2 linked regions of the Drosophila melanogaster genome follow. Each later gene encodes a partner of the first gene's protein in a complex. Each region holds a gene or a part of one and is shown in the gene's direction. Other genes may lie near its edges.

Evidence for each region.
Region 2: Cog1 (region 1) and fws share a complex: the UniProt entries of both Drosophila melanogaster proteins name them as parts of the conserved oligomeric Golgi complex.

The regions. Positions count from the first base shown.
Region 1 is NT_033777.3:12,213,649-12,221,556, reverse strand, and holds Cog1 (component of oligomeric golgi complex 1), read left to right. Parts: upstream 1-1,870; 5' UTR 1,871-1,952; coding exon 1,953-2,086; intron 2,087-2,142; coding exon 2,143-2,825; intron 2,826-2,893; coding exon 2,894-3,951; intron 3,952-4,010; coding exon 4,011-4,676; intron 4,677-4,870; coding exon of another isoform or gene 4,871-4,894; exon of another isoform or gene 4,895-4,924; intron 4,925-5,603; coding exon 5,604-5,723; 3' UTR 5,724-5,974; coding exon of another isoform or gene 5,975-6,130; 3' UTR 6,131-6,677; coding exon of another isoform or gene 6,678-6,746; 3' UTR 6,747-7,765; downstream 7,766-7,908. Other genes in the region: CG4860 (uncharacterized protein), read left to right, coding at 107-140, 202-441, 572-1,545; CG14742 (uncharacterized protein), read right to left, coding at 5,975-6,130, 6,678-6,746. UniProt on the Drosophila melanogaster protein: Required for normal Golgi function.
Region 2 is NT_033779.5:17,477,892-17,483,029, reverse strand, and holds fws (four way stop), read left to right. Parts: upstream 1-2,000; 5' UTR 2,001-2,061; exon of another isoform or gene 2,062-2,110; 5' UTR 2,111-2,128; coding exon 2,129-2,734; intron 2,735-2,787; coding exon 2,788-3,858; intron 3,859-3,916; coding exon 3,917-4,495; 3' UTR 4,496-4,588; downstream 4,589-5,138. Other genes in the region: GCS2beta (glucosidase 2 beta subunit), read left to right, coding at 1-583; Lamtor3 (late endosomal/lysosomal adaptor, MAPK and MTOR activator 3), read right to left, coding at 1,244-1,574, 1,653-1,696. UniProt on the Drosophila melanogaster protein: Required for normal Golgi function and necessary during spermatogenesis. Required for cleavage furrow ingression during cytokinesis in dividing spermatocytes and for the extensive polarized cell growth that accompanies spermatid elongation.

The DNA.
Region 1 (7,908 bases):
CTGTTTTCCTCGGTTGTATTTCGATCGGCTCGTCGACGAGTGCGAAAAAGCTTTCACTACCTCGATCGCAACCGGCACCACGGGCTTGGGATCAGTTGGCGACGGAATGCAGCAGCTGATCAGAGTGGCGCGGACGTTGGGTGAGGAACTGGGTGATTCCCGGCTGACTGGATGATCGATTTGCCGCCTCCGTCTTTGCAGGTCAACGCTCGAGCGGCGCATGGAGTGCGAGGATAATCGCTGGTGGAAACCGGGGAATCGCATGCCTGGCCGCCCTCTCCGAGACCCACCAGATTCTCCAGAAGACTTGCCGGGAGTTCGCCAATGCGGAACTGGCCCCCAAAGCGCGACACCACGACCGGGAGGAGCTTTATCCGGCGGAACAGGTCCGACGGTTGGGAGAACTCGGTCTCATGTCAGTGACGGTTCGAGAGGAGTATGGTGAGTTCCTATTTCAATTATAATATTTACAATATTTACATAACATAAAATATGTGATGTTTTCATTTTTGAAATGGTATATAAATAGATCATACTACTAGATTCCATTCATTAAATATTGATTTTTCAGGTGGTTCCGGATTGGATTACCAGGCCTACGCGATTGGCATGGAGGAGGTGGCTCGTGGTGACGCCGCCGTGTCCATTGTGATGGGCGTGAATAACCTGTACCTGGGTGCAGTGCAGCAGCATGGAACCGAGCAGCAGAAGCAGGATTTCCTGGTGCCGTACACCCAGGGTGAGCACATCGCCTTCTATGCACTATCGGAACCTGGAAACGGATCGGATGCAGGAGCTGCCAGCACCACGGCCAAGCTGCAAGGGGACAGCTACCAAATAAACGGCACTAAAGCGTGGATATCAAACTCCAAGGAGGCCAGCGGGGGTATCGTCTTTGCCACGGTGGACAAGAGCATGAAACACAAGGGAATCACTGCCTTTCTTACGCCCAAGGATGTTCCAGGACTCTCCATAGCCAAGAAGGAAAGCAAAATGGGCATGCGCGCGACTTCGACTTGCCAGCTGGTGCTGGAGGACGTTCACGTGCCGCGATCCCGGGTCCTTGGAGCTGCCGGTGATGGCTTCAAGATCGCCATGCAGTCCTTGGACTGTGGCAGGATCGGTATAGCCGCCCAGGCCACCGGTATCGCACAAGCTGCCCTGGAACTAGCCGTGGATTATTCGCAGAAGAGGGTGGCCTTCGGAAAGCATCTGGCACGGTTGCAGCTCATCCAGCAGAAGCTGGCCGACATGGCCACGCGGGTGGAGATCTCAAGGCTGCTAACGTGGCGTGCCGCTTGGCTGAAGGATAATGGGCTGCCAATCACAAAGGAGGCGGCCATGGCCAAGCTGCATGCCTCCGAGTCCGCCACCTTTTGTGCCCACCAGTGCATCCAGATCCTGGGTGGGATGGGGTACACCACCGATCTGCCTGCGGAGCTTTACTACCGCAACGCCCGCGTCACAGAGATTTACGAGGGAACCTCGGAGATCCAAAGAATTGTGATCGCCAACGCAGTGCTGCGGGAATTGGGAAAGGAGTGAAAGCCATTGTTGGTTTTTCTTTATTACTGCTGCCAAACCAATCAGAATTCTTGCTTTTACACTTGTTGTGTATGTAAATTAGTTTATCTATGCCAGACAAATGCATTTAATAAAGTATATTTAAACAAATGAAACCTGGATTTAGAAAAATATCTTTTTTCGATTAAATGAGGTAATTCCCCTAACTATAACTCTTTATGTTATATTGAAATGTAACGGCTTGCACATGACAGCATATCTAACATTTTTACCAACAGAGAAATGTAAACTAACATAAATTTAACAGTCATAGACAGTCATGAGAGAAAATATCGATGTTGCCAGTCATCGATACATAATTCGATTTTATTACAGCTGCTCCCTTGTTATTGTTTTCTTAATTTAAATAAAACTAATTTGACGGCTAAATGACGGCCAATTTGTTAAACCTGAACGTGGACACGCTGTTTGAGCAGCACAGCGTGTCCGAGATAGACGAGGTGCACAAAAAGATCCAGTCGGTGGTGGAGAACAAGCGCGAGGAGTTGCGCACTCATGTCGGGTGAGTGATGTGGCACCTTCAGAAGATTTGCTGCTTAAACATTCTAAATCTTTAAGGGAGCGGTACCGAGATCTTTTGCAGGCGGCTGACACCATTGCTGCGATGCAAACGTCGGCCGGGACACTTATGGAGCAAGTGCGACACGTGCAGGCCAATTGCCGCAGTCTAAACGAGCAGCAGCTCCTGGGCTTCCAGTCAACTGCCAATGCAAGTGCTAAAGATGCCGCACTGAAGGAGAGGAACGCCGGAAAAAAGCTGCAGACCTACTACGGCACCATGGCTCAGATTAAGTTGCTTACTGCCCTGCCGGAACTAATCTGGACGCACTTGGACAACGATCGCTTCTATGCCGCTACTGAGTTGTTCATCTTCAGTCGCCACATCAGCACGGGCTTGCAACTGGACGGCCAGAGTGCCCTGATGCAGAAACTACCGGTAGCGCGCAAGCAATGGGAAATCCTGCGTCCCTTTCACGTGACCATCAAACAAGCCATACTGACCGCACTGGAGAGGGAGGAACTCCTACAAGAAATGACTGTGGACTGCCTGCAGAGCCTTCTCTTGCTAGACAAAAGCGATTTGAGTACTGTGCTGAAATCCTTCTTGAACCTGCGCTCCTCAGCCTTTCTGAACTGCCTGCAAAGCGGTCCATCGGAGCCACGTCGCGTCAAGGATCGCATTTTGGCTAGCTTAAACGTGCTCAACAGCACCGTGGAGCTTCTGGACAAGTGTCTTTTGGGTATGTTTCCATTCGCAGATAGGCACACAACATTATTATTGGAACAATCGGTCTTTTCTCTCGTACAGGTTATAGCCTTCTTTTTAGCCGCTTGGAGGAGTGTGCCTCTTCTACGTGTCCACCCAGCATCAACCGAATGGAGAGTAGCGAGCGCCAGCTGGTTCATCTTTTACCCGAAATCATCGCTGGTTTTAAGCCACAATTTGATGTACCTCAGCTAACACCTGAGCAGTTGGGTTCTTCACTTCAACAATGGCTAGATAAAATGAACGCCTTGGCAGCGGCTCACTTGCAGCAAGTCTTTGCACTAGTCACCAACATGCAGACCATCCAGGACATTAAGTCCGCGGCCAGAACTAATGGTCGACCGGATTTCGTTCGCCTAGAACAGCAATTGCATCTTAAGCGTAGCCAGTTAGACTTCTACGCCAGAAAGTACGTGCCGTTGATCAACGCCAGAGTACGAGAGATAATTCGCAGCAGCTGGGCTTCCGCCATGAAGCTGACCTACGAACAGGTACTATTGCTTATTGAAGCCGGTCAGTCGCAACCGCCTCTACAAATTTGGCGGGAGCAGAGCGATGATTTGCCTTTAAGCTTGGCGGCAGCACTCAGCGATCAACCAAAGCGACTGGCAAATCGGACGAAGGGCTATGACGGCGCAACAATAGAACTGTGTAAACGTTTTGACTCACATCTGGCGGATATCGTACAGGAGCTGAATGTGATGTTACAAGAACAAACGACGAGGGCTGAGGACAAGGTTTCACTTATCGAGTTTCTGCGCGAAACGGCCGAGGAACAGCTGACAGAGTATTTATCCAATTTGAAAGGTTTAGAGCTAAGGGAACGCCCTGCTCTGCTCCTGGCTTTGAGGAATAGTCTCGCCTTGGTCGAGCTGTGCCCCAATTTAAAGTTGTGCTTCTGCCAGCCGTCCAGTTGGCGGCAGTGGACTGACAACTCGGCGGGATTGGGAATTGAGCATTGGCAGCGCATTTGTGGCCTGATCGAAAAGGAGATGCTATCCTTTTGGCTGGTCATCGTTGACGATGTGTTGGCCGGCCACAATTGCGAAGAGAAACTGCCAAAGGTCATTAATCATGAAGTGGTTCTCAGCGACTTTGCGGTAATTATATGGAAAGAAGAAATTTATTTGTAACGTAACATAATTATATTCTTGAGTAGCTTTGGCAGACCTTGACACTGGAACAGCGCGACGAGGACCAGGAGCAGAGTGTTCAGTCAACCATTCGAATCCCCAGTCAGCCGCGACTCTCTCTGCAGACGTATCTTCATCAGCTAATTCAGGCATTGAATTCGGTTGTTCCCCAAACTCTGCCACCCAAGGTATTGCAAGCATTCATTCAGCGGCTCATAGGGAAACTGCTCTGCCACTACGAGGGATTGGCCCACGCGGAATGCACCAAAGCCAGTCAGAATATTGCCCTGCAACTATACTTTGATCTTAAGTTCCTGGAGCGCGTGTTCGCCATTTCACGTGAGGAGAGGACTCTCTACGACCAAATCCACGCCCAGCAGAACCAACTGCGCGACTACATAGATCCCTTTGACTTCGAGCTGTTTGCCGAGCATATAACCGCTCATGTGTCCCGAGCTGCAAGCCGTCTGCAGGGTGAACTGGGAGTGCTTACTCCCTCGGCAGCTGCTCCCAGTCAGGGTGCAGCTGCTGCCAGTTCTTTGGCCCATGAAGCAGATCCCAATGTGCTGTGTCTCAGTTCTTCCGGATCCACGTCGCTGTGGTTCCCGCTGCTGCCCATTGTGATGCCCCAAGCTGCCGGAAGAGTTACTAGCGCAGAGCGGAAATCTCCGATCCAAGAGCCAGTTGAGAAAGTGAGTATAAAGTGTGATGATATAGAGGGCTGTCGGTGTTGGCTTCAAGAGTATAAGCTTTACTATTTGGTGGTGTATTTAAAATTCTAAATTGATTAGCTGAAGCATTAAACCGACAGCCCTAATAGATATAAAGTTTATCTTTTACCAACTTTATCAAGTTATAATGCTACGTTCCCATGTTTCTTTCCTAGGATTTCTATCGACTGCATTCCTAAGTCAATAGTTTCAACATTTGCTCTGGTTGGGTAGGAATGTTATTTGATTGTTGATACTTTGTTATCATTCCTCGTTTGCATGCTGCATGATATTGATTGTTTAGCCAATACTTATTAAGAGTGAGCAAAATAGCCGCATTGCTCTTATTAAGTGCTTCATTTCCAAATTTGAAAACCTCTTCAAGCTGAAGCAGCAGTTTAATTAAACTAATTTGGTCCATCCAGCAATAAATAAACCAGAATGCCGCAAGACAAATTTTAATTAGGTGCAACTTTCTGCCGCCATTTCCCAACCACTCCTCCCTACTTCGTCCGCAAGTGGTTGGCAAAAGTTTCGCTTGAAACCCAACCCGAAATTTCCAAGTGGATGGCCAGAACATCGGCAGAATGATTATGTATATATTACGGGCGCGTATACGAGTGCCTTAGATGGTAATTAATGAATCGCTGCAATTATTGAAATCAAATCGCTGGGCAAATGTTAATTTATGGCAGTGGCTACTTGGCCGTTACTCGCATGTTTTGTAATTAGCTGCGATCTCCGCCGGTATAAATCGTTCTCTAATTATGTTTGCTTTCCATTTGTTGCTGTTCGCTGCTCGCTATAAATCTGAGAGTCCAGCGGCAAATTAACAGATTAATCAGACAAACTACCAATTAATAGTACTAATTAATTAATAACATCTCCCATTTTATCCCTCTATCTCAGACGGCGACAACGACGCCGACGAGGAAGTCGGGTGGCAATGGAGCCCGCAAGGGAGACAGCAGCAAATCCAAATCGAGCGCAGCTTCCTTCTTTGGGATGTCCCAGGAGTGGTTTCGCTAGAGGATTCAAATCAAGTGGCCTGTGAAGTGCATTCGAGCGGAATGCGGATGGGATGCTCTTCTATTGTTAAGCTTAACCTACATAAATATATCCGAACGTACTTGTAGTAGAAGAGGCGGGCAGCGCCCAGTAAATTGTAAGAAAGTCACATACATTATAGAGATACTCGTATATACACCCTGATATCACTTTTAATTTCAACTTAACTCTAAATTTGTAATTTTTAATGCGCTTTGATGTTGCCACGGTTGCTATTTCTTGCCTCCCTTCTTGCCACCGCCTGCGGCTGCCTTTTGGTCTTGTCCTTTCTTGGCTCCACCTTTGTCACCGCCGCCTCCATCGCCGCCTTTGTTTTTATTTCCGGAGCCACCTCCGCCGCCGCCTCCGCCACCACCGCCGCCCTTTTTCTGTGGGCAAAGAAACACGGAAAGATTTCGCTTTGAGCTGGGACCGAGCAAATAACGAGCCACGGTTGTTTAAGGTTGCCCAGCGAAGTCAGTAAATGAGAAAAAGGTTAGTTGTGCCAGGATTGCAATGGGGGGACCCTTGTTCCAAAGCACCAGGAGTTCTCTAATTACATACAGCAGCAGCTATTATCCGCATGATAAAATGTAATCTAACCATTATTTGTGGTCTACAATAACGTATTAATACAGGTAGCACGAAACACCTTCCTAAAAAACTGTATGCAAGGCTTAATCTCAAAGTTAATAGTTCTAGTGCACTAAAGTTTTTTTTTTTAATTTGGCAATGCTTTTATAAATTTATGTTTAGAAAGTTGGTCAACGAATTATTTTAAAATTGTTGGAAAGTAGGGATAAAGTTAAATATTGTTAAATTGCTACTTGGAAGTTTGGTGGGACCATGAGCTGAATGAGCTGGCACTAAGATGAGGATTACAAGTAGTTAGACTCACAATTAGAACGCAAGTTGCATAACACAAATATTGCTTACATTGCCCCCGCCTCCACCACCGCCACCTCCTCCTCCACCGCCGCCGCCACCACCCTTATTTTTGCCCATTCTATCAACTTCTTGGGAAGGCAATTATTTTATTTATTTGGTTTAGTTTGCGGTGCTTGCTGTTGGCTTTGGCTAGAGTAAACTTATGCCAGAGCTGGCAAATTGCAACTAATAAGCATCGCCATTGCCGCACAGCGAAATACATGAAATTAAATCATTTGGCCAGAAAAAGAAGGCCAAAATGAACGTTGAGAGCAAAACACAAAATGCGCAACAGCCAAAGGCGGAAGGGAAAGGCGCCAATGAATTTGGGCGGCAATGGGAGAGGGGAATGGGTTGATTGCGATGACCAGGGGGATTTGGCTCCGGGTAGAGGAGACCTGGCTGCAATGGCCAATGGCTCTTAACTGATTTAATCACCGCCCGGGCACCTCTCTTTGCGGCCGGAAGAAATGGGAAGTGTTTCTCTTGCGGCGACCGTTGGATTATTTTGTAGTGCTTCTCCTCCATCGCTTTTTGGCTCTTTGCTTCCGATTGCGATTTCGATTCTGTTTCTGTTTCGGTTTCGCATTTGCATTTGGCCATATGCGCCCATGGCCATGGCATTGACATTGGCCACCTCTCGCATTTCTGGTCTGCGGCCAATGGAAGGCAATACGTCGGTAATCCCACGGCTCACTCGCGAATCCCACGGATACGGACAGTGCAACAAGATGCTATTTATAGATGCAACGCGAATTGATGGTGGTGATAGCCTAGGCCAAGAGAGATTTTGGCGGATTTCAATCGGAAAGAAATGGCCCAGAAGGCGATTGAAAGCGCTAATGTATGCAGAAAGGGAAGAACAGGAAGATTGAATGAGGGAGATAAACCAAGGAACGGTAGAATTGATTATGGGTCTAGGGAAGTAATTTAATTGGAGACTATGGGCAACCTAAAAAAAAGTTAATCAGCACAGATATGCCATTTAATCTCCATCGCACTTTCTTATGTATAATATCTGATTTTTATTATTTGCATAGACTTGTTTAAAGTTGTAATATAAGTATATTGAACATATTTAATAAAGCTTACCGAATAAACTATGCATATGAATAACTTATCCGACTGTTCCTATGGCCGGTATATACATATATCATATATCTGGTTTTGATTATATAATAATCATATATTTATAATTATCTTTCAATAGACCAAAATGTAAGCATTACATTACAAATTT
Region 2 (5,138 bases), on another chromosome or scaffold:
GTACGATGATGAGGAACCCGATGTGGGCGTTGGCGAAGCCTCTCCGGATGCGGAAGAAGCCACGCCACCTAACTACGATCCGGAGACGCAGCGTTTGATCCAGCAGGCCAATGAGGCGCGAAATGCTCTCGAGGAAGTGGAGCGCAGCCTGCGCGAGATTCAGCAGGAGGTTAACGAGATCGACGACCAGAACAACAAGGGCTACGGCCTGACCGAGGAGTGGGCCGTGCACGATGGCCAGTGCTACAATTTCGAAGATCGGGAGTATGTGTACACCCTTTGTCCCTTCGATCGGGCCTCCCAGAAGTCGAGGAGCGGTGGGCCTGAAACCACGCTGGGTCGCTGGGACAAATGGAGTGGAGAGCCAAAGCAATATTCCCAACAAAAGTACACCAATGGTGCTGCCTGCTGGAATGGTCCAAACCGTTCGGCCATCATCAACATTAGTTGTGCCCTGGAACCCAAAATCACTGCCGTCAGCGAGCCCAATCGCTGTGAATACTACTTTGAATTCGAAACTCCCGCCGCCTGCGACAGCGAAGCTTTCCAGTCCGAATCGGAGAATCTGCACGACGAACTCTGAAATGTTCAACAATCGACGATGAGGATGAGCCGCAGAGAAATGTGAATGCTTGGCATGCGTAGACCAGAGATTTGGGGATTGTATTTTAGTTTTAAAGGAGAATATCAATTTTGTCGAGATCATTCCCAAACTGCAGCAGGAAAACCATCAAGAATTGTAGCTAATTAACTCAGTATATGCATTTAAGCAAAAAGTACATCAAGTTTCATTCTGAATAAAGTGTAAACACCTAGTATTTTTAAAACAGATAACATCACTGAATGAAAATGTTGATTTAAAGTCGGTTTCCTTGAGCTCAAACATACAAATATTTTACTTTCGTGATACTTGAGCACAGACGATTTCAAGGTATAGGGAAAAGTATATTATAATTGAGAAACTATATGAAGAAATTTAATTGAATGTACACATTTTAGGCAGCAAGAATTTTTCATTTTAAATAAAGTGTCAATAGTTTGCATATTTGATATTGTTGCCAAAACGGAGGACTCGGAACTTTGTTCATCTTTGAGATCACCCTTCGCAGGATATGAAATAAATTCCCGGAATAGTACAATGGTGAGTTGAGATTTTTAAAAACTCATTCTGTTCTCAATAAAGTATGTATGTATAAACATTTAGTAAATATTAAAAATATGCATATTACAAGGTAGACTAACTTTAGGCCTCGGTGACAGCCTGTTTAATGTCCTCCAAATAGCCATCGACCTGGTGCTCCAGTGCGAGAATGTGTCCCGTGTTACAGTTCTCCGCGCCCACAAAGGTCAGGATGAGCGGCAGCTTGTTCATCTGGACCACCTGGTAATTGGAGTACATGGAGATGATGGTCTTGTTTCTGCCCAATCCCAGTTTGCTGGCCTGATCGCAGGCGGTGGTGAATGTGGGTATGAACGAGGGCATCAGGGCGAAGTCCACGTTCTTCTCCTGGCTAACCCGCAGGAGGGGCACTCCGTCGCGATCCGTAATCTGAATAACGTACAGCCCGCTGACCCTTTTGTGTAAATCGGGGAATGGGGGAAAAATTATAAGTTAATCATATTGGGAACAGCCTTTCCTGTGGAATATTTACTTTTGCAGCAGGCCGTCTAAATACTTCTTGATGTCGTCCGACATGGAAAATTTGTTAAAGCGAAAGACTAGAGAAGGTATGGCAATAATAATACGTTTTTCTCCGCATCCAATTATTTACACAAAACAAAGTGAGCAACAGCTGCCTCAAGTTATCGATAAGTTCATGTGGCAGGGGCGTAGTCGGCGGTCGAAGTAAAATATTTTCAGCAAGCGGAAAAAGGATGCGGCTAGTTTTTAACATTATTATTTAAATATTATATTATTAAGCTATCACGCAATACTTTATATAGTTTTTTAGAAACCCCTTCAAAAAATTCAATCCCCGCTCAACTGGAAATTTATCGATTACAGCCTGTTTTTGGTTGCGTGGAAAAACAGTTTGTTTGCAATACGTAAAATTGCTGCAAGTAATGGAAATAAAAGTGTAATACCAGCTTATAATTCGTATTACCATAGATTAAAACCTTCTGCATCATGGTGACTGGAGACCCGGTAGCGACAAAGACCCCAAACGCAGCGGATTCGGATGATAATGACTTTACCGCATCCATGTCGCACCTGACCATTGGCCAGCAAATCCAGGAGCTGTCCAAGCAACTGCAGAACACGAAGGAGGAGCTGCACCAGCAGGTGCGCGACAAGCACGGAGCTCTACTGCAGCAGGCCACCCACGCTGGGCGCTTCGATGCGGCTTTAAACGCGCTCGCCGAGGATGTGCAGCGGGTCAGGGAAACTGGGCACCGGCTGAAGAACCAGGTGGACACGCAGTACCAGCAGGTGGAGAACCAAACGCAAGTGCTAGGGCGTCTGCACGATGTCAGTCACCTACTCCGCTCGGCTGGAACATTGCTGAGCCTCACGGCCAAACTAAAAGCGACCAAGGATGTCCTACGCCTGGCCGAAATCCACTTTGAGTTGGGCCAACTCATCGAAGATAAGGAGCTAAAGGACATTGATTTTATCCAGCAGGAGCGAGCTTATGTGATCAGCTCTGCTCAGAAGATAAGGAACCTCACGCAGATGCAGTTGGTCACTGGGCTCCAGGAGCGCAATGAAAACCAAGTGGTTAATGCCTTGAAGGTGGATATAACAAACATTTTTCTAGCATATACCTAAGAGTTCTTATTCCTTAGATCTTTATGAATTTCAATACGCTGGAAAAATCGCTGGATAACCTATTGGCCACCTTTATTGCCGACATGGAGCAATCTCTGAAAGAGTGCTTTGCTGGCAACGATATATCTGTGCTGAACAAGTCCCCGACGCACAATGTGAGCAAACCTGCTCCCTCGAGGGGACCAGGAAAAACTCCCCAGTTGACAACCACTCAAAACTTCCGTGCCAAGTTCTGGAAGTCTCTTCATTGGCTGCTCTATGATGAACTTTTTGAGACTTGCACGCAAATCAAGCTGCTGAAAACGGCTCTCGAGCAGATCAACCAGTTTGGCTATACATCAGAATCATCGGATCAGTGCATTCCGCAGCGTTTTTGGCAGCAGGTGCAGCAGCTCCTGCGAAAATCCTTTGACGAATGCCCCCAGCATGTTACGCAGACCCTTCAGGAGGGGCTCTCAAAGCTCCTGACCTCCGCTCGTGGCTTGGAGCAGCGTCTGCATGGCGAGTTTCAGTTTGACAACGAACTATTTGCTCCCCTGGAAGTGGGTTACGTTAGCAAGTGTGCTGCCAACTTTAAGGCATGTCTGGCGGGAGTCGATTTGCCCGGCAACGAAACGGTGGACAACTTTATTCGTGTGGCATCAACGGAGCTCAGTGCTGCTTTGATCGATTCCCGTCTCACGAATGCCATAGCAAATGTATTTGCGGCCTGTGGAAAAGAGTTGTGCACAAAACTAGAGGCTCAAATCAAGCTGGGAGCTGATTCCAAGCAGGTCGTGGATCTGCCCAATCTGCAGCAGCAGCAAAACACCCAGCTGGCGAATGTTCTGTTCTACTATAAGGATTCAGTGCGTCGCATGCTCAGTGATCTTCATGTGCACTTTGAAAAGACACCGGGAACAGCTAGGGAGATTATATCCCGATCCTTGGAACAGGCTGATTTACTGATCGGCACCATTCTACAGCAGATAATGGAGTCGATTATCACGACCATTAGCATCATTGTATTGAGTATGCACAGGGAGCCGGGATTGAATTCGGAGAGGATGTCTACCACAGGTCCGTCGATGTACATGAAGGAACTGCAGGTGGGTGGGAATTTGAATGTAATACTTGGCTAGTCATATGTCTCAATCAAACTATTAGGAGTTCGTCAACCGATCCTGGTCGCATCACATCGCCCTGTTCGATGACAAGCAGATGACGAAAAAGTGCGGACACGAGTTGGCCAAACGTTGCATTGAGCTCTTCCTGCACAATGTGTGCATTCTGCGACCTTTAAGCTCCTGCGGAAGGCAGCGTTTGAAGCAAGACTGTCAACACATGGAACAGGCGTTGAAACCTCTTTGCCCAAATCTCGCCGAGCTGGGAAAGCCGTCGCGTCTGCTAAGAGCCATGTCCTTGCTGATCGTCCAAACGGCCGAGGAGCTGGTCAAGCAGACAATCGGCGAGGACTCTCTAGTGCCCAGTTACATAGTGCTGTTGCTGCTCTTCGGACACGCTGGAGCAGATCTGCAGTCGCCACACACGACGGCCAACTGGTCCAATGAGCGGCTGATCGAATGGCTGGATGGGCACACGGCTGAACGGGAGAAACTAGAGCTGATCTCGGGGGCACTGCAACGGTATCGGGACAATGCCAGGCGAAAGAACATTCAGCAGTACGACGAAGTTTACCCCATGATGGTAGATTATTTTGAACAGGCCTTAAAGGCACTTCCATAAATGTCTAATGTATTATGTATCTAGAACTATGTATGTATGTATGTAAGAGCACGAATATGTTTGGAATAAACATATGCATGGCATCCTTCTATTAAATCATTGTACTCAGTTCCTTCCGCTAAATGAAGCTAATGAGTTTCTTAGAATAACTTATTGAGTGGAATAATGATAGCAGTGAGAACTTGAGGCTAGAGGCTTAAAATTGAAATTATGCGAGGTTGTGTCATATTGTCATTTGATTAAATTAATTTTGGTAGGCAGTTTTGGCTGGCGCTATATGAATAAATGGAATTCCATGGTTAATATAAATGATACTGGTACTTACTCAAAAGACACATTTTGGAAGATGTTTCGTATTAAAAGAATAATTCTTACTTATTCGTCATTAACATTAAGAGGATTTCAAATAAAAATATATCACTACATCGTTTGGAAATAGTTCCTCCGGAATATCGGTATTTATATATTTTTCACATTTATATCGATTTGAAATAGGCATTCAAAACAACGGTAGTAATAACTTTTTTAAACTATCGATGCGTATTCAGAATAACGGTACTAATAACTTGTTCTAACTATCGATGTGTATTCTGAATAACGGTAGTACAAATTTTTCCCAACGGTATATCGATATCCATCTGGG